Linked DNA regions of Xenopus tropicalis. The main gene of each other region encodes a partner of the protein of the gene in region 5 in a complex. Links are inferred from orthologs where the notes say so. Each region holds a gene or a part of one and is shown on either strand. Other genes may lie near its edges.

The links.
Region 1: coa1 (region 5) and cmc1 share a complex: the UniProt entries of both Homo sapiens proteins name them as parts of the MITRAC (mitochondrial translation regulation assembly intermediate of cytochrome c oxidase complex) complex. The link is inferred for Xenopus tropicalis from reciprocal best matches to the Homo sapiens genes COA1 and CMC1.
Region 2: coa1 (region 5) and smim20 share a complex: the UniProt entries of both Homo sapiens proteins name them as parts of the MITRAC (mitochondrial translation regulation assembly intermediate of cytochrome c oxidase complex) complex. The link is inferred for Xenopus tropicalis from reciprocal best matches to the Homo sapiens genes COA1 and SMIM20.
Region 3: coa1 (region 5) and tmem186 share a complex: the UniProt entries of both Homo sapiens proteins name them as parts of the mitochondrial complex. The link is inferred for Xenopus tropicalis from reciprocal best matches to the Homo sapiens genes COA1 and TMEM186.
Region 4: coa1 (region 5) and timm21 share a complex: the UniProt entries of both Homo sapiens proteins name them as parts of the MITRAC (mitochondrial translation regulation assembly intermediate of cytochrome c oxidase complex) complex. The link is inferred for Xenopus tropicalis from reciprocal best matches to the Homo sapiens genes COA1 and TIMM21.

Annotation. Positions count from the first base shown.
Region 1 is NC_030682.2:48,482,392-48,486,113, reverse strand, and holds the end of cmc1 (COX assembly mitochondrial protein homolog), read right to left. Parts: intron 2,677-3,722; coding exon 2,586-2,676; intron 836-2,585; coding exon 715-835; 3' UTR 643-714; downstream 1-642. UniProt on the Homo sapiens protein: Component of the MITRAC (mitochondrial translation regulation assembly intermediate of cytochrome c oxidase complex) complex, that regulates cytochrome c oxidase assembly.
Region 2 is NC_030677.2:31,912,708-31,917,464, forward strand, and holds the start of smim20 (small integral membrane protein 20), read left to right. Parts: upstream 1-1,836; 5' UTR 1,837-1,920; coding exon 1,921-2,029; intron 2,030-4,757.
Region 3 is NC_030685.2:38,351,593-38,356,329, reverse strand, and holds the start of tmem186 (transmembrane protein 186), read right to left. Parts: upstream 2,851-4,737; 5' UTR 2,756-2,850; intron 140-2,755; 5' UTR 131-139; coding exon 1-130. Other genes in the region: pmm1 (phosphomannomutase 2), read left to right, coding at 3,026-3,088, 4,417-4,528. UniProt on the Homo sapiens protein: As part of the MCIA complex, required for efficient assembly of the mitochondrial complex I.
Region 4 is NC_030682.2:100,285,937-100,289,163, forward strand, and holds the end of timm21 (mitochondrial import inner membrane translocase subunit Tim21), read right to left. Parts: intron 2,552-3,227; coding exon 2,478-2,551; intron 1,305-2,477; coding exon 1,199-1,304; intron 1,117-1,198; coding exon 1,015-1,116; 3' UTR 841-1,014; downstream 1-840. UniProt on the Homo sapiens protein: Participates in the translocation of transit peptide-containing proteins across the mitochondrial inner membrane.
Region 5 is NC_030682.2:57,067,527-57,072,070, forward strand, and holds the start of coa1 (cytochrome c oxidase assembly factor 1 homolog), read left to right. Parts: upstream 1-1,310; 5' UTR 1,311-1,419; intron 1,420-4,544. UniProt on the Homo sapiens protein: Component of the MITRAC (mitochondrial translation regulation assembly intermediate of cytochrome c oxidase complex) complex, that regulates cytochrome c oxidase assembly.

The DNA.
Region 1 (3,722 bases), about 8.6 Mb from region 5:
CAGCACTCTGAAATGGTGAAAAAGGTGAATTTTATTTCTGCCAAAGGCTAGACAACCACCCTTTATCAAGCCTACTTACTGTGTTACACACTCGCTATAAATCGGTGTAATAGGGGAAGGGGTAAACCTACTCCATCCATTTCCCCAAACACTACATTTCCCATAGTGCTCTGTGAAACAGTTGTCATATATAGATATCAACTCCATCTTTGCACACACTTTCAGATAAGCTACCATTCCTATGCCTTAATACTGTATGTCCCTTACTGTATATCTGCACTTACACAAAGCAGTCTTCTACTCTGGTGTGCAACTTAAAGCTGCAGTCTTCTCTTTGTACCCTCCCATGTCCACAGACACAACTATGGGAGCACGGCTAAAATATATAGCCACAATACTTTAGCAAACTGAAATCAAATGAAGGGGCAGGAAAAGTACTGAAGTTTCCACACATTCCAATAAGGTGCTCGGCCGTATGTGTCTCGGCCCTGCCCCATACTGCGGCACGTAGAACTCTTACAGCAAACACTTCTATATAGATATCATCATGGTATTTGCCTAAATGAGTTCCTGCCTATTTGAAACAAAAATAATTCAATGCGGATATAGAAGCCGAGAATAAAAGCAGCAGATAAACAGAACTTTTTTTTTACAAAAGAAACATTTATTATAAGAAACTAGAAATGGGGAAACACTCAGGAGAAGACAGTTTGATTATATACTATTTGGCACTTTCTCTTGCCTTTTCTTTGACGAGATTCCTGTTTTTTGAAACTCTTCCCTTTCTTTTAAATATTCCTGCTTGCATTCTTCATATAAAGCCGGATCTTTGTAGCTTTGGGAATAAGAATACAACACAATGGCAATAAGGAAGCAGCAGTACATCTATAGGGAATCCATTTTGAATTACAAGTTTGGGATCTTTTACAGGTTTGGGATGCATTATCCAGAAACCTGTTATCCAGAAAGTTCCGGCTCCAGAAAGGTCCCATACCTGTATCTGAAATGCCTGGGACCTGGTTTTCTGCATAAGGGATCTTTCTGCCATTGACTGTGACATGATCTCGACAGGTTTTAGATAAAGCGTTTTCGGTTTCGGAATTGTCCCAGTTTTGTTGCATAATACATCTTGGAAAGTTAAGATTTAAAAAAAGAAAAAATGCCTCCACATATTTGCTAAAAAAAAATCTTTTAAACATAAACTAAACCCAATAGGATTTTTTTTGCTGAGTTTGTGCTGTACAAGGTTCTGTTTTACTATTACAGAGAAGAATCATTTGCTTTAATAGACAGGAGCTGGTAATTAGGAGCTTTCTGGATAATCAGTTTCCAAATAAAAGATGTATATATACACATGTAAAATATAATACAGAAGAATTCCCTCTCCTACAAGTTCCAGTTCTTTACTCTCCTGTTCTGTAACTGAATTGCCTCCTTTCTGCTGCCAATTCCCTGCTCATGGAACCAGAGATAGTTGCAAGTGAAGAACGCGGAGTAGTGATCCAGGTGCTGTGTATAAGTATCAGCCAGGAGTGTGTACATCACTGTGTTAAGTGCTAGTAGCTATGCCTTTTTTGCCTAAGTTTCACTGTGATATTGGCATTATCAGTTGGAAAAGAATATATGTAGGGTTGTATGTATGTATATATGTATATATATAGTTGCTTTATGTGCCTAAACAGTGGCCTCTCTCTCTTTACTTCAGCTTGCCTCTATGTCAGGGGCCACTACACAATCTCATCATATTCCCTTTATATTTGTCTGGTGTGTATATGCAAAATCTTAAATAACAAAGAGAAAGGCCAGAATACTATTTGACAGGAAAGTGTGACTTGCTCCTGTGATTGGCTGAAAGTCATTATAAATTTAGGCTATTACTGAGAATAGCTTCCAGGCAATTTTAGTCTTCTGGGATCCCCTCTGTTTGATGGCAATTTCCCCCCACTGCAGAGCATGTAGCCTTAAATATTCTCCTCAGTTACCACTTCCATATCAATACCAATACTATTTCTGCAACACTGTACAGGGTACGTATTGAGGAAAATTGTTTCCCCCCACCAGAGATGTGGGATAATAGAGCTTGCATTTGAACTGGGGGAGACTATTCTCCACCCCCGGCACTATGCCGCCCGCTCTGTGAGGGAGCTCCTGGTGTGGGCGGCCATTCTGGGACACAAGCATGCAGAATAGTGCAGCCTCTGTTAGCCTGATAGGTGTCATTTAAGTCTGTTTCCTTTCTGACAGGGCTGCTTTTAATGTATGCAAATTCTTCATTAACTACCCCTATTGGAAATAACTGAAGGAATCTTACAGATATTTCTGTTTAGTATATATGGCCTATTATCTACTAACCATAAAGAAAGAGGGTTTTCCTGTTACAGGGTTAAGGATTTTTATTTGGGCTAGCACATGAGAGGCAATCTGAATTACAAGACTGTCCCTAGTTAATAATCATGTTTAAATCATGTATGATATTTGCACTAAAGGAAACCAAAATTTTTTATTTTATTATTATACTTTATACAATGTTTGCACAGTTTTTAAGGCTATTATATATAAATATCAAAACAGAAAAGTCAACTTACTGAAGAGTCAGGCACTCCTTCAGCGCTGCGTTTTCATTTCGGCATTTCACCACCATCAGGAGGCCACTCTCCTTGCAACATTTTGTAAAAGCTGGAAAAAAATACACAAACCAGCATGGTACTGAATTTATTGTTCAATACTGCAGTTCAGACACAACAACCTGCAGTAAATAACTGCATTATGGCATCTGGCTTACATTTTTTCCCTGTCACTGCATTGCAAGTCTGTGCTTTATGTACTGCTGCAAAAGCATTGTAGCTCAGGTACAAAAAGGCACAGACACATGTCAAGTTCAGTCTTTTACCCATATAAATTCCATGTACTGTAGCATTCAACTGATCCACAAGAGGAAAGAATGAATCACATTTGTGTCACAGTAAATTAATATTTTATATGGAGCTATACCTGGATGAAAAAGTTAATTATGTAAAACATGTGAATTATATGATTAAAATGGAGTCTATGGGAGATGGCCTTTTTGAAATTCAGAGCTTTCTGGGTAGCGGGTTTTTAGATAATGGATGCCATACCTGTATATGTATTAACACATGTATTTATTTTTCTTCTCTACCTTTATTGTGTACTAGCGCAGCCAGTATAAACTTTTTGATGTTATATAGGGCCATTATCATTTTCTTGGTTTTCCAACAGTAATGCCACCTATACAAAGGGGGGGGAACACTCTAAGGCTAAACAAATTAATAGTAAATTAAAATGGAAGTGCAATGGGCAAATCTGCCAGGTCACATTGCACTTGCAAAATGTCACGCAACATAAATCATACAGGCCACAAAGCACTCTTTTACTAACCTAATAAGTGTGAATGTAAACTTCCCCTTAAAACTATAAGGAAAAATACTGTAAGGAGGGTGTACAAAAAGCAAATTTCTGTTCTGGTGGTTAAAGCTATTAGTAGCTGCTGCCTCACACCTTAGAAGAAAAGCAGAAGAAAAACTATTCTGGGTGAAAAAAGCGGCTCAAGCTGCCATTTCTCATGCCACATTGTTTCTGTGGTTTCTCTGGACAAGGGCACATACACAGACACATACCAACCACACTCACATGAAAAGAAATAGTATATGTTGTATTTCATATAGCCGATATATATCGATATATTACAGATTGCTGTGTATTGA
Region 2 (4,757 bases), on a different chromosome or scaffold from region 5:
ACTTGATTTAAGATTTAAAAATACCTGTCCTGATTTTTAGTTTTTGCATTGTTCTGTACAGAAGTATAGCTATGGAAAATGCCCTGGGATTTGCTTGGTTACCAAGAATGCGTGTAATATGACAGTGTTTCATGTTCAGAACTTTGGTGCTGGTATTATGCTGGTACAAGTGTTGGGGAGGTCATGTTTTCAGTCTATCGATTTCTGCATTTATCTTACTAGCATGTCTAGAATAAATGAAATCCTTATTGACTATTTTTGCAGTGATCTTACTGTCTTGTCTGAAATAATGTAATTGTCATTGTCCATTTCTAGAGCAGTCTTACTGGCGTGTCTGTGGCTAATGTAGTGCTTATTGGCCATTTCTACAGTGGTGTTACTGGCTTGTCTGGGGTTAACAGAGTTCTCATTGGCGATCTCTACAGTGGTCTTAAGCTGGCCATACACGCACCGATAATATCATATGAAACCTCATTTCGGCGAGGAGGAGGCTGCTGATATCGGTCGACTTGCCGATCGGCCAGGTTAAAAGATTTAGATCGGGCGCCATAGAAGGCACCTGAGCAAAATCTGCCGTCAGGGCTGAATTGGCAGAAGGAGGTAGAAATCCTATTGTTTCTACCTCCTTATCTGCCGTTTCAGCCCTGAACGGTTAGTGGCTGATTGAACGATCTTTCGTGCGACCGATGACAAATCGCCATGTGTGTGGCCACCTTTAGGTTGATATACTGATTATTCATTTTCTGTAGTGATTATACTGGCAGGTCTTGGGTTATTATGCCCTGATTATATTGACATGTCTGGGGTTAATACGCCTGTGTGCCTAGGGTGGTAGCTTTAGGGGGGTGGTCCTGGGGTGCTTATATAATTGAAAAAAATAAATAAAAAACTAAAAAACCTCCCCATTAGGGTTGCCAACTTTGCCAGAGGGGACGGGGCAGACGGCATTGGGGGTCGAGCAGTGATCACAATGATGTCAGTGATGCCGAAGTGGGGTTACTGCATCATTTGATGCAATTGGCTGGATTTCTGTCCAGTTTTCTCAGTGTTTTCAACTGGAGAGAACTGAACAGCCCTTTAAAAAATTTGGACGTCCATTCAAAACTCTTGTTTCAAAAGTGCCCAGGGTGGCCTTAAACTTAAATACAGCCCTGTCCTTTATCCATTTTATCTTGTAATTATACTGAAACATTTGTGGTTTATATGCTCCTTATCAATTGTTTGTGGTTATACTGACATATTTCAGTTAATATAATTAACTTATTTAATTATTATTTAACTTTTATTAATTTAAATGTTTTGTTTATACTGACATGTCTAGGGTTAAAATAATCTTTATCCATTTAAGGGATTATACTGGCACCTTTTGGGTTAATTTACATTTCCTTTTGTAATTATACTGGCATGTCTGTAGGATGTAAAATAGGTGTAGTATGTAGGGGTTGGGCCAGTTCTTTTTACCCCTCTTTATATTTTTTAAATGTTGGAAAGTATATGCTCAAATCTGTATATTAGCAGACGTGACAGGGGCATGCTTGGTGCACTGCATGGAAGGACAAACTTTGCTTATGTAGCATTTTTTTGCTACTTATTTATTTTACATACCAAAATTTGTAAAGACAAAAGAGTCATTTACTTAGGCAAACCTTATGCAGTACATGCAGTAAGTCCTTTCCTACCACAGCTGATGTATGTTCTATTTTTAGCGGAACCAAGGTAATAGAACTCTGTTTCCTCAGGTTGGGGAAGAGTTCAAGCAGAGCTCTAGTTATTAGCCAACCAGAACACAGCTTTCGTTAGTACTTGCTATATTGACAAATCATATCGCATAACACATCCACAGAAATGATTGCTGCCCGTGTCCTTGTTGCTTCCTGGTTTGCCCTTTTCTCCCATGTCTGACAAGGCTGCTTTGTGATCATGTCCAAAAACACCAGGATAGTTCTCATTTTCGGTGGTTTTGTCACTGCAGTGGCAGCAGCTTTCTACCCTATATTCTTTCACCCGCTCATGCACATAGATGAATACAGTAAGTAACCTGTAACTGGTACACAAGGAGAGCATCATTGCTACTGACATGCCAGTACTTCACATGGACACCATGATAGTTTTTTATTTTAAAGGGAATATAAATACGAGCATCGGTATTATATGGATTTATGTTATTTTAATTAATTACTTGTTCTCAGTTTAAATACTAGTTGCCAATAATTGTTAAAGGGAATTTAAACCCCAACACTTGTATGTGTTGTACATGTGATTTGTACATGTTGCGGATGACAGCTGATTAACAGCCCTGTAATAAAACTTGTGATGCTGCCTTCTGCAACATTATTTCAAGAGTCAGAACCATAAGAGTGAAGACACATGGAGCTACTAGTAGCAGCTACTTGTCACGGCTACTAAAACAGACAATGCTGATCATTTACTGATAACTGTCTCTACATGTGTTTTAGCAGAGGCAATTCTCAGTATTGTCTATGGCAGGGTGTTTAGTAGCTGTGACAAGTAGCTGCTACTAAGTAGCTCCATGTGTCTTCGCCCTAAGGGCTCTGGCACACGGGGGAGATTAGTCGCCCGCGATTAACTCCCTGTTCGCGGGCGACTAATCTCCCCGAGTTGCCTACCCCTGCCATCCCACCGGCGAACATGTAAGTCGCCGGCGGGATGGCAGACGCGGCGGCGCGATTTCGCGCAAGTCGCCGAAAAAGACTTGCGAGTCTTTTTCGGCGATTCCCTGAAACTGCCCCGCCGCGTCTGCCATCCCGCCGGCGACTTACATGTTCGCCGGTGGGATGGCAGGGGTAGGCAACTCGGGGAGATTAGTCGCCCGCGAACAGGGAGTTTTATCGCGGGCGACTTATCTCCCCCGTGTGCCAGAGCCCTAAGTGGGACAGAAAAATACTTGTGATTAAACGTACAACATTTAGTAACCCATAGCAACCAATCAAAAACATTAGCTGACCAGTAGATGCTGCCTGCTGATTGGTTGCTATGGGCTACAAGAGTTATTTTACCCCACTCTGTCTTCAACGAAGTGTAAATCAGTTCTTTGCGCACAGGTTATGGCATTAACTGTTATTATGAAATAGGTTGCAAAATAAATCTGGTGATGATAAAGGGATATTGCTCCATCTTTTTTCACAATGAAATTTTGAAGGGACACTAGCATCACTAAATACAGTTTGTATTTGTGTCTGAAAACAATGCGCAATATTCATTAAAGTGTATTTGTAAAAATGATTTGCAGAAAGGGATGCTATTTTTTCACTGTCTATTCACATATTCACTTTACTCTATGTAGATTTATCATATATTAACATAACCTATAACAGAATTATGTAGTACAGGTATGGGATCCCTTATCTGGAAACCCCTTATCCAGAAAGTTCTGAATTACGGAAAGCCCATCTCCCATAGACTCTATTATAAACAAAACAGTACCTTGTACTTGATCCCAAGATATAATTACTCCTTATTGGAGGCAGAACAGCCCTATTGGGTTTATTTAATGGTTAAATGATTCCCTTTTCTCTGTAATAATAAAACAGTACCTGTACTTGATCCCAACTAAGATATAATTACCCCTTATTGGGGGCAGAACAGCCCTATTGGGTTTATTTAATGGTTAAATGATTCCCTTTTCTCTGTAATAATAAAACAGTACCTTGTACTTGATCCCAACTAAGATATAATTACTCCTTATTGGGGGCAGAACAGCCCTATTGGGTTTATTTAATGGTTAAATGATTCCCTTTTCTCTGTAATAATAAAACAGTACCTGTACTTGATCCCAACTAAGATATAATTACCCCTTATTGGGGCAGAACAGCCCTATTGGGTTTATTTAATGGTTAAATGATTCCCTTTTCTCTGTAATAATAAAACAGTACCTGTACTTGATCCCAACTAAGATATAATTACTCCTTATTGGAGGCAAAGCACTCCTATTTGGTTTATTCAATATTTAAATTATTTTTAGCAGACTTAAGTTATGGAGATCCAAATTACGGAAAGATCCCTTATCCGGAAAACCCCAGGTCCCAAACATTCTGGATAACAGGTCCCATACCTGTATTAATATCATATTTTGCAGTCTGCCACTAGGTGGTGCTGGTAGGTAACTCTGACAGCATAGAAAGCTTTCTGTTAAAAACCCAGAACTATGGCATTGCTGCGAAAATGCCAGATGCTGTTTAACAAGCTCTGAGGATTCTTCAAATTCCCCCCTAGAAAAAAGAAAAAATCTTTGTGTAGACATAGACTTCATAAAGGGGTAGTGCTCCAACAGGGGTTCGTAATTTGGGATTTTGCTGAACTCACTTTAAGCCTTTTGTTTTAATCACAAAATCAGTATAGTTTATGTTATTTCTTGAGCTTAACAGGGAAATATAAACTACTTCATGTTTGGTTCTTGTGAGGTAGATAATAGATACCTGTGCGCAGTTAAGCAGAAGTCCCTTGTGCAGGGAAATTATCTGTGCACTTGTTTGCATGTAACAGTTATTTCCAGTGAAAGCAGTGTGCACTACATAGTGTAGTCCATATCAGGGCTGTGGAGTCGGAGGCAATTTTGGGTACCTGGAGTCGAAGTCGGAGTCGGCAAAAAATGAACCGACTCCGACTCCTACTAAATTTAAATGGGAATAAAAAAAAAAAAATAAAGCAAGTTTAAATGTCCCAATTCACAAACAGTCATAATTAATTGCTTCTCTGCTATAAGAATAAAGCCCAATGCACGCAGTGCATAAACGAAC
Region 3 (4,737 bases), on a different chromosome or scaffold from region 5:
CTTGACATGATGTCAGTGACACTGAAGAGGATCTGAAGAAAGTTGTTCTGCAAAGTAACTTGGAACTCCAGGCCAACTGGCCCATGTGTAAATACTTTATGCATCTAGATATCAGGCATACATGGGCCATGACTGGGTCCTGCAAAGGAGAAACAATATAACTGTTAGATCATAATGCCTTATATATACTCACATTACCTAAAATTTTTCAAGGAAAAGTTCACAGAAAATTGAAATTATTAGCCTTCCTATTCTGCTTATTTTCCACCCACAGCTTTCTATTCTTATCTTGTATTTCTTATCTTTCTGTTCATACCCTCTATTATTCATCTTACATTCTGTGTTCCAAACTACTGCATTGTGGCTATGGTACCTGTTGCTAATTAACTGCCTCTTGGACTGTCTATACCAGTACTGTGCTGCAATTTACATGTAGTGCTCAAATAATTTGTCATACCACATGTTCCAAGGCCAGAATATGTTATAGAATGGCATGATTTCAGCTACTTTTTTTTTTTTAATTTTGTTTTTTAATGATTTGCTTTCCACTTCTGCCTCTTTCCAAGTTTTAAATTCAAAAAGTTATTTCTTTCTCAGGTAACAATTTTATTGTTATTATTACTTATCGTTCATCTTTCAGTCTCTCATTTAAAGGGGTAGTTCACCTTTAAATTAAATTTTACTATGATGTAGAGAGTGATATTCGGAAACAATTTGCAATTTGGATTTTCAGCAGCTAACTGGTTGCTAGGGGTCAATTTAACGTAGAAACCAGGCCCTGGATTAAAAGAGGCCAGAACATTAAAATGAGAGGGCATGTATATAAGGATAAGGCTAAAAAGTTTCAATAATAACTAGAAAGGGAAGTTTGAGAAAAAACTTCATGTTGGGTTGAAAAACATGAAGTCACTGCATGGGCTCCTCCAACTTTCTCTGACCTTGGACCACAGTTATACAGTAAAAACCACTGTGCAAAGTTTGGGGACCCTGGTTTTAATAGTGTCTGAATGGCAGCAACTTAAATTTGATTGGTGGTTGGTGGCTCAACCCCCTTTTTCTAACCTGGAACTGCAGTTACCCAGTGACTAACTCTGGTAAGTTTAGGGACCCTAGGATTAATAGTTAAAGAACGGCAGCAGTTTAAACCAATAAAAGTCAATAGGTGAATTGTGATTGGTGGTTGTGCCCCTTTTTCTAACCTTGAGTCAAAGTCACCCAGTGACAAACAGTGGGCACCCTGGCATAAATAGTGTGAGACTGGCAGCATTTTAAATTTAAAGCAAAATTGAAAGTCAATAGGTAAACTCTGATTGGCTGTTGGTGGCTCCGTCCACTTTTTTAACCTTGAACCACAGTCACCTGGTGCCTAACCCTGCAAAGTTTGGGGACTTCCACCGTCAACAGGTAAAATCTGATTGGCTGTTCACAGCTCCGCCCACTTTTGGGCATCCAACAATCATCATATTTTCATTCAGGCTGGCCCCATGACTATGTGATTCAAGTTTGGGGAGTGTAGCCTCAAAGCTGTAAGATTGGCAGCAGTTTCAATTTCCCCATTAAAGTCAATGGGTAAAATTTGATTGGCCCCTCCCACTTTGGGGGTCATCCAACAAATGTTGCTGTTTCATTCGGGGTGACCCCATTATTATGTTATTCAAGTTTGGGGGGTGCAGCTTCAAAGCTGTAAGTGTGCCAGCAGTTTGAATATCTTCCCTGTCAAAGTCAATGGAAAAATTGGGGGGTTCGGAGCGGCGCAATCGCTTAGAAAAGCACAAGCAACCTGCTCCTCTATAGGCCGAAGAAGTGTGGGGAGTTTGGGTGTTGTACCCCTAAAACTGTAGGAGGAGTAGCGGTTAGAAAATGGGGGGCACTAAGAAGAAGAAGAAGCGGAAGAATAATAATGGGTCAGTGACCCCCCATATGACAGCTGGAAAGAGAATTTCTGAGAAAGGCAAATAATTGAAAAATTATAAAAGTTAAAAAATGAAGACCAATGAAAAATTTGGGACATTCTTAAAATAGTAAAAATTGACAAAAAGGTGAATAATCCCTTTAAAAAAAAGACTTGTGGCAACAATGGATTAAATACCAATGCACATTGGCATAACTAGATGTTACTGGGCATCTTTGCAGTCCTGTAGATTGTAAGCTCTTGCGAGCAGGGCCCTCTCACCCTATTCTTACTCTGCATACCCGTGTTTGTTAAACTTTTTAAAATCCCTGTTTGTTTAAATTTATTGTGAAGTGGTGCATAATTTGCTGGCATTATATAAATGAATGATGATTCTGCCTATTTGAGTAAGTAACAGGGGTGATGAAGGGGTTAAACGCCCTTGGCCACTCAGTTTAACCCATATATCTGCTGGCAGGATGGCAAAGATACCCACTTTGATGCCCCTTTTCCTTAGTTGTTTATCAGACTGAATAAGAAAGGATTGCCCCCTTGGTGCCAGTTTTCCTGCCTTTCCGGGCCAGGCTGGGACAAGCCGGAGTTAACGTAGCGCAACGCTGTCAATGAATGTGATCTGTTAAATTTGTGGTGCAAGTTTATTTCTTTAAAACACCAGTTACTAATAAAACCAACATCAAGGCACCCAACGCCCTTCTTATTTATTTTTGCATTTCTCTTGTGCATAGCAATTTTCTGTTTCTAAATACATCAATTTTTTAAATAAAATGTCATATTTGAACACTTCCTTGTACGAGTTCCCTAAGCCTAAGGGAAGGACAGGCAGCTCGATTCTTCTATACTCACCCCTGTCCGCACTCCTACACACGCTTCTCCTTTGCTAAACTTCCCAGCGCACTAAGCTACAATCACTTCCGATTCCATGCGAGGCATTCTGGGAGATTGAGTTCTTTTGTCAATGAACAGTCGGTGACATCCTGACTCCGGCAATACAGTTCCCGTCATGCTCTGGGCTTCAGGACCCAAATAGGAAGTTGTGATGTGGCTTGTTTGACATTTGAAAGGACTGTGTTTCTCCATTCATCTGAGCTGAGAAAGATCCGACTGGCAGCAGTCATGGCTCAATGTGACGTTCTGTGCTTGTTCGATGTGGATGGCACCCTGACAGCAGCCAGGCAGGTACCAGTATCAGAACCGAGAACTATTCACAAGGATCTGTCACTTTTGGCACAAGTTTATTTTCACACAGCATTGCAAACATGTTATGTGTGTATATGTTGCATTTATATACTGCATGTAAATGCAGTGCTTAAAGTTAACGCAATAGGACAGAGTAAGATTAAGACTTTACCAGAATATAAATAACAGTACAAAATTCTACCCTTCTGCCCCATTAAGTTTATAGTTTATGTTGGATTCCGGGCTGCAACCGGGAATTCATAGTGTATGTTGCATTTCAGTAAAATGCATCCATTTTGACCTGCTAATTGCATAGAATTGATTTAGAAGGGGGGGGGGGGTTAAATTCCCTTTATATATTATAACATTATTATAAGTACTAAGAGGTAGCTAACAAATTGTGACCACATCAGTGATTAAGCTTTTTCCTTGTACTAAGTCTAGAAGTAGGTAAAATTAGGTAAAAAATTAATACATTTCACTTTACTTCTAAAAAAGTGATGGTCAGTGTTTACACCTTCTATGGGGAATAAGTTTTCTTGTACTTGTGACTGGGTTTATCTTTTTTACTGACAAACAACAAAGGTCTTAGCTTGCTTTATGACAATAAACATTTAGTACATGCTGCTTGGAGTACATTTTGGGACACACTGCTAATGACAAGCACTGCTACAAGTAGGTGAAATCACCAAGAAGCTCTGTATCTTCGAGTAATCCTAGATTACTTTTTTTTTTTTATGCACTGTCTGCATAAAAAGTAAGGATAATTTTAACAAAATGCAGATATTGGTTCAAACTGCCATGTTTTTTGCACAATTGAACTCAGCCTGCATTCACACCATGGATGCAGGTCTTTGTGGTCCAGCGAGGAGTTCAAGACCCTGTGCACCCCCAACCTGACAACCTGAAAAAACAGGCACTCTGCAGAGCTGTATTCACAAGGGACCACTGGGGAGGGGGCATATAGGAGTTTTCTATCCTTCCCCCCTAATTGCATTTCATTCTATCTTTGGGAGGCTAAAAATTCATGCCCGCCAGCACATTAATTATTAATCTGCTGTGAGGTGCAGAGCATAGCTGGCCCTTATGCTGGGTAAATGGTCAGTAATAGGCAGAATTTTGAGCCCCTTTGAGCTGTAGCATTTGCACGTGGGACAATGATAAATGACCCCAGCATGTCTTGCATTTACATGAATGATGCAGGCAATAGGGAGCTGAAGTTCAACCATGATAAAGGGTCCATCTTTTGGACCCCATGTTTGAGAGAATTATGAGTACGATTTTTCCCAGAGCAGTATATTTTATTATATTATTATTGTATTTTACAGAAAGTCACAAAAGACATGGCAGAATTTCTAGAAGAGCTGAGAAAAAGGGTAAAAGTTGGGGTTGTTGGAGGTTCAGATTTTGAAAAAATCAAGGAACAGCTTGGAGATGATGGTAAGGCAAACAAACATGACAAAGGCGAATAAACAAAGATGACTGTTGAAAATGACTCCAATGAAACAGCTAAAGAAAGATATAGTAAAGGGGTGGTTCACCTTTAGGTAAGCTTTATAGAATGTTATAGCAACTTTGCAGTTGGTCTTATTATATAAATTATTATTAATAATAATATTAATAAGAATTAATATTTCTTTTATAGTTTT
Region 4 (3,227 bases), about 43 Mb from region 5:
ATCAAAACAAGTATTTATAATGGATAAATCCAAAGGCATTAACACTGACTTCTTATTCAGTAAAGTTTTTTTTTTTTTTAAACTGAATGAATACATGATGAATACATAATATACATAAAAAATTGAGCTGCAAAAAATAAATCTAGGAAAATGACTTTAAACCTAGCAGCCTGCCGTTCATTGCACGATGCCAAATGTTTGTGTCTGCATGTGAGGTTGCTGTGTGCGACACTTGGCATGTGTGCGAGTGTGCGGGGTAATACTGCCATCAGACCTGTTTATATAATATTTATTTCAAGTAGGGATACACCAAATAAAGGATTTGGTTCGGGATTCGGCCTTTTTCAGCAGGATTCAGCCCAATCTGTGCCTCTGGCCTAACCAAATCCAAAAAATCACGTGAGACACGGAAGTTGAAATTTTTCCTATTTTTTCTAGATTTAACCCTTCTAAAACCTAATTAGCATATGCTAATTAGGATTTGGGCAAATCCTTTACAAAGGGTTCGGCCAAACCCAAAAAATGGATCCCTAATTTCAAGTGTTATGGTGAATTTGTACTGTACTGCCCAGGTATCAACATCATTTAGAACAGCAATGACCCCTATTCTTCCAGCTAAACTTCAACTTGGTAAAATACCTTCCCTCCTCTCTGCCTATGCATTGCTCTGTCTGTCAGGCAGAAGAAACAGTGCTTCTTAAGGCTGAAGGCACAAAGGTGGTATTAATCATTTTGAATAATGAACAAAATATAATTAAGCAAATATTCAAGTTATAAGCATGAAAGGCAGAGGAGGATATGTGGAGTGTTAAATAAAACAAAGGGGGTTCATGAAAGAGATTAAATTACATGATTCATTTATTTTCAGAATAAAAAGAAGCCATGATTCAGTTTCTCACAGACATTTGAACTGAAGGCCCTGCCTACAGCAAAACCTTCTAACATTACAGGAAACCACACAGTTGTAAAGCACCTTTTATACAGATATAGCAGCGGCAAACAATGATTTTCTTCTTAACTTTGGCGTCTGTTGTCTTCTATGACGATTGTTCGCCGTGGGTAAGTATCAATTTCAACAAATATGTACTGAAATTCATATTTTCCACTTTCTGGGTTCTAAAGGAACAAAATATAGAATATTTCAGGTATATGATATAAATGACAAGTAACAAGCCTACAACTGTTCATTACCACATACCTCTTTCACCTCTGTGTGCACTGTTCCTTGCTTTCTTGGTTCCAAGCCCTCTATGTAGAACTTTAGCCTCATGCACTTTATGCCATCTTTCACATACTCCATGTGACTAAAGCAAAGAATACACAACATTTAGTAAAAAAAAACAAAAAAACAAAATCAGGTTGTTAATTTTAAGGTGATCTACCCCTTTAACTATAACTATAGATGTATTTTAAGACAACCTATACTTTTTTAAATTATTTACATTTTTTATAGCCGTCAGCTGGCATGCATTGCTAGAGATTCTGACCTAGACCTATATACATTCACTTGCATGTTTACTATGTCTGCAAATGTTTTCTCTGGGCATTCTGTTTTTTTGGCAGACTCCAAAATCAAGCGATTGTCTGATGATGGCGGTACCTTAAAATATAAGCTCCACTGGGCAGGAGCTGATGTGAATGAACAATAGCTGTGTTGTTTTTGCCACTATTAAATAAAGGGTAACAATTATAACAAAGTGCATACATATAGGAGACTGCCCAACAATGCAGATGAATGTCAGACAGATTGTAAGTGCAATAAAAAATACTGCACCTGTGTAAAATAAATTTGGAAATTGCACAGTGTGTCCATATGCATTTTACAGGGGTGGCATTTCTACTGCACTTAACAAAAAAAAACAAAAACAAAAATCTCCTGTTGTGTGCATACAACATATGGTGGATCAGGTCATAATTTCATTTTAATTCATTGTATTTAGGTTGCGAGTGTTTGAGTGCTTTGAATTCTTTTTATCAAAAAATAAACTTTGTGAGGGTGTTTCTCATTCATTCCACTATGCCTACGGACCACTTTTATGAATGGTTAGCCCTCCAAGTTTGGCACCACTCCTGCACCCCTACAAAATGTATGCACTCCATAGCTTGGGTCTCACAATTCCCTTACGATAGTCCGCTCAGAGTAGCCCCAAAGAATCTTAATCTAAAATTTACAATGGTGGTATCTAAAGTACTTTATGTCAAACCACATCTGTTGCATGTGAAGGGAAAAAGTACATATAATAAGAGAATTAACTGTACTCCAGTACAAATTCCCATTGATAATTTACCATTCAGGTTTTCTTCACTAATATCTGTGTGCTTTTATGACCATGAAGGAAAACCCATTATATCAGGTGTGGTAAAGTTTGTAATTCACAATAATTCTTAATAATGTATACAGCTTTCTATGTAATAAACATTACAACAATATGGCAGTAAACTTTTATTTAATTTTTTTTGACAAACCTAAAACTTACCTGACATGCTGTCTTCTACCACGTCTTGTAGTCTCTCCGTAACCTTTGATGGGCTCACCAAAAGCACCAATAACCTTTTAAAAGTTAAAGAAAAAAAGTTAAGTAAAAGCAAGTTAAAGCAAAGAAGGTGGACATCACATTGGTTAATCAAATATTTTTTGCAAGCAGCTAGCCTGTATAGACTATAGTAAACTTTGCAACTGTTTTGTGTGCTTGGTCCATCAAGCCAATGCAGTCTCTGCCTGGCACGATTTTTAAACCTGCCTGACTGATATCTGGCTGATTTTTAAGGCCAGTTGGAGGGCCCCATACATGGACAGATAAGCTGATGCCTCTGATTGAAGGGGCCAAACTAGCATCTTAAATCTGCCCACGTATAGCCACCTTTACCAGTACTACAAAGGACATATTTATTGTGTATAGGAATGACTGAGAATTTTATAGAGAATTGGCTTTTCAACCTTATGATAAATATGACCAAGACATCTGCTCATTCGCTTGTAAATGAAAGTCACACCTCATTTGGATATTTCAGCTGGAGCAATTAAAATCAGTTTTGAGAGGGTTGTCTCTAAGCATGGTGTCTATAACCCGTGTCATTTTTTTATTGGCATCCCATATAAGTGTATAGCCTATGCTACATGAGTAATTTGCATCAGTCAATACAGATCTTAAAAAAAAAAAAAAAAAAAAAGACATTTTGCATAAATATTTTCTGTACTCCTTCTGTAGGTGATTTCCCAGAACAGG
Region 5 (4,544 bases):
CTTGGACACTGTAAGGAGACAGGGGAGGCGATGGGAATTGCTATGTGTAAGTGTGAGAAGCAAAAAGAGAGACGTGCAGAAGTATTGTGTGCTGTATACCTGCTTCCCTGCAAGAAGTCTGTAATAAAGTGTGTGTGATTCTTTGCAACTGGGTTAAGATGCCTACTTTTTTAGTAAAGACCGTGTACATGCATTTGACAGTAATGGGTGCCTGCCAGCCACAGGTAGCCCTGTTACAAGCCAACAGTATTACTTGGAAAAAGAAAGATTATTAAATAAAAAAAACCTGTAATGGTTTTGCAAGACTCCAGTGTCCCCAGTAAAGACTATAATGAATTTATCCGCCGCTTTATCCCAGAGCGAATCTGAAATACAGCCTCCTAAATACTTTAAAGGTTCAGTGGATTAAAACTGGTATTATTCACAGATATGCTGCATGAGCTGGGATCGGATTCAGAGCACAGCTGTTCAGAGATCCATATGAAATGTGACCTTTTGACCAGCTTATACTATTATTTAGGAAATTATATTCCGTTTGCTTTCAGTTAATTAAAGTGATACTGACACTAAAAAACTACTCTTCAAAATATGAATGTATGTAAAAAGTTACCTATAGGTCACGTTGATCATTTTTCACAGATAGGGCTGCTTTTGTAAGTAATTGTTGTTTGAAGTTCCTAAACCTGACTGTTTTGCCAACCTGACTGTCCCTTCTCAGCCTGTCAGTTATCATTTCTAATGCTAACAGACTCCTGCTGCACAAATATGGCTGCCCCCTCATAAAGCAACATGGGGGATCAGATGGGTAACATAAAAACAAATACTATTATGGAAAAATTATAAATAGCATGCAAAGGCAGTTGTAAAAAGGGTTTAATTTCTGGTGTCGGTATCTCTTTAACACCTGGTTGTATGACACACTGGTAACTGTTAAGTAATTCTGCAACTGCATAGAAGCTGGTTTCAGTATTGTTAAAGGGGTTGTTCACCTTCACATAAATGAAGCTATTTTAGCAGATTAGGTCATTTTAATAAAATATGTAATTTATCTGTTTTAGAGAAAATTACCTCTGAAGATAGCGTTTCTGTATAGGGCAGGATACAGCAGAGGCACCAGGGGAGGGGGTCGCTGAACCCTTTCTGCACAAGCCTGTGTCAGCGTGTGGAAGCTCTGTGTAACACTGAGCACTGGCAGTAGGAGTCTAAAGCTACTGTGCATGTTGCTTTTCTTGCCTCTCCTCTGATTGGCTGCTAAACTGCCCGGCACCTGGTGCTGCTGCTGTCTCTGCTATGAATGTTCAGGGAGGGAGGGGGGAGCAGGGGGGAAGCTCCCATGTGACTCACATTGCAGGGAAGAAACAAATGCTCCGCCTCCCTGAAATGTTTCTGTATGCCTTTGTGTGAACTGCAGCTTTTACAGTAAGTGTTAAACAGCTTATTCAAACACATAGATACACAGTCTTTGCGTGGCACATATTATCATACTCAGGGGAACATAATCTATCTTTTGGGTAGCAGTGAGAAAAGGTGGACAAACCCTTTAATGGGACTTGAAGCTCCTTTGCTTTCCACTGAACCTACGCACCAAACAGTGTGAAAAGCAGAGGAACTTTAAGTCACACAACCCATTACTTTACAACAAGGTGGGGGAGGTTGCATTATACTGTGAGTAAAAGGGGGGGTGGGGAAACTGGTTTCATTGAAAACAGGCAGACTATTACAATCTGTGAAATCAGGCATTTCTGTGTAAATATATATTCTGGAAGGTTAGTGTTTATGTACCTTACCTACATAAGCATAACTAAACAAAGTCTTGTCAAAAAGAGAGTATTATTATTATTAACATTTATTTATAAAGCGCCAACATATTCCGCAGCGCTGTACAATAAGTGGGTTACATACATTGGACATACAGAGTAACATATAAAGCAATCAATAACCGATACAAGAGGTGAAGAGGGCCCTGCCCAAAAGAGCTTACAATCTACAAGTATATTTAGCTTCTCCAGAGGGACATGAGAAGGTGAAAAAGAAATCATTCTATACTAGTAAAATGGGTAAAAATGTAAATTAGAATGCAACCAACAAATAGTCTTTATTTCTAATGTACTACAGAAAAACATCTGAAATGAAAATTTATTTGGAAGGTGAACAACCCATTTAAACTAATGCACTGATGCTGGAAATTAATTACAACAACTTGGGTTCCAAAGATTCCAGTATACGGAAATGAATGATATATGTATAACTCTGAATTGTGTTATACTGTATATTTACTTGTCAGTTATATTTAACTGACCCTATTCCTTAAGCATTAAAAATTCCACATTGCTAGTTTAGAAAAATTTGCATTTATATGCAAGCCATTTATACCCTTAAAGGAGAAGGAAAGGCTAATAAAGAGTTAATCTCAAGCTGCAGGCATACCTTCAGTTGTCTCAATAGTGCCCTTAAGTCTCCCCATATTTCTCCTGTTCAGATGATCAGAAGCATAATAGGGGGAAAAAATGCTGAGCTGTGTAAAGAAAGTTCCCATAATGCCATGCTCCTCCACCAAGACCAAGACTGGTTACATGCTCAGTTTGTAAGACTATGAGGAAGCTTCCTGCTGATTGGCCCAGATCCACATTCCTATGGGGGGGAGTGAGTTCTTAGCATTCTTTGGGGAGGGGGTGCAGGAGAGGGGAGAGAGGAGAGAGCTGGCACATGAATTACAGACACAAGAAATCTTTTGTATATATGTATATTTTTATTTATAAAGCGCTACTTATGTACGCAGCGCTGTACAGTAGAATACATTAATACGAACAGGGGGTTAATAAGATAATAGATAAATACAAAGTATAACAATAAATACAAATAAATACAAGATACAGTTGCAATAAGTTAAGAGTCAAAGACACAAGAGGATGGAGGTCCCTGCCCCGTAGAGCTTACAATCTATATGGGAGGGTAACTTACAGACACAAATAGGCAAATATAAGTGCTGTAGGTCACAGTGGGTGACATTACAATATAAGTGCTGATTCCCAGATCAGGTGCTGGGCGAGTTCTCCAAAAGGTAGTCTTTTAGTTTGGTTTTAAAAAGACTGGGGGAGGATTCTCTCCGGAGGAAATCAGGGAGGGCATTCCAGATGTAAGGGGCAGCAAGGCAGAAAGGTTAAGGCGGGAAACAGCAGTTGTAGTGGGGGGCGCAGCCAAGCGATTGCTCTGCGAGGAACGAAGGAGTCGGCCAGGGACGTACGGAGACACAAGGGAAGAGATGTAGTGAGGAGCAGAGGAATGGAGGGCTTTGAAGGTTAGAAGAAGTTTGTAAGATATTCTTTGTTTAATAGGAAGCCACGATAAGGCCTTTAGCAGGGGAGGGGCCTGAACTCTCCTGGATGAGAGGAGGAGAATTCTGGCAGCAGTATTTAATATAGACTGTAGGGGGGAAAGATGGGAGTTAGGGAGGCCGGTTAATAACAGGTTGCAGTAGTCCAGTCGGGATAGGATGAGGGCATGCATGAGCAGCCTAGCTGTTGCAGTAGAGAGAAAGGGACAGATTTTGCCAATATTGCGTAAGAAAAAGTGACAGGTTTTGACAGTGGAGTTAATGTGGTCAGAGAAGGAGAGACAGGAGTCAAAGATCACCCCCAAACAGCGTGACGAATCGACAGGGTTGATGAGGGTGCCTTCAATAGAGATAGAAAAGGGGGGAGTAGGACCAGGCTTAGGCGGAAAGATCATTAGTTCAGATTTTGACAGAGACCTCAGTGCAGCTTTTCTGTGAGTGCTTATGGCTGTATTTACATAGACTTTCTGATAAAGCTTACTTAGTTTTTACCTTTCCTTCTGTCTGTGACATCTTAGGTTAGCCATTCTGGCTAATTTGCCAGAACCAAAGATTGTCAGTCAAGGCCTGAAAGAAGGAGAAAGAGGATCCATCTAAATACTTGGAAAGTATTTTTTACAATGAGAGCTGCGAAGTTGTGGCTTTCTCTTCCTGAATCAGTTGTACTGGCTAATACATTAGAGAGCTGGTTGAATGCCTTTTTGGCAAGTGAGGGAATACAGGGTTATGGGAGATAGCTCTTAGTACAAGTTGATCCAGGGACTGGTCCAATTGCCATCTTGGAGTCAGGAAGGAATTTTACCTCCATCTGAGGCAAATTAGAGAGGCTTTGGAAGAATTTTTTTTTTGCATTCCTGTGGATCAACTAGCAATTGGACAGGTTTATATAGATATAAAAGTCTGAGCTAGATGGATGGGTGCCTTTTTCTAACCTTGCTTGCTATGTTACTATGTATAAAAGATGGATCACATGCAACAAAATATCAAGCAAACACATAACTGTTTTACATACATTTGCCAAGTCAGAAAACATATATTACATAAATAAATAAAAATCAAGCAATTGTTAACAGTGGCATAAAATAAGGTTATATATAAATATATAAATCCCCCTCCCCCAAACTAACACACATTTTTTTCTGTGCCTTGAATAGCATTTGATCCTCATTTGTCAGCACTTAAGTACTAACAGCTATAACATTCTGTATGC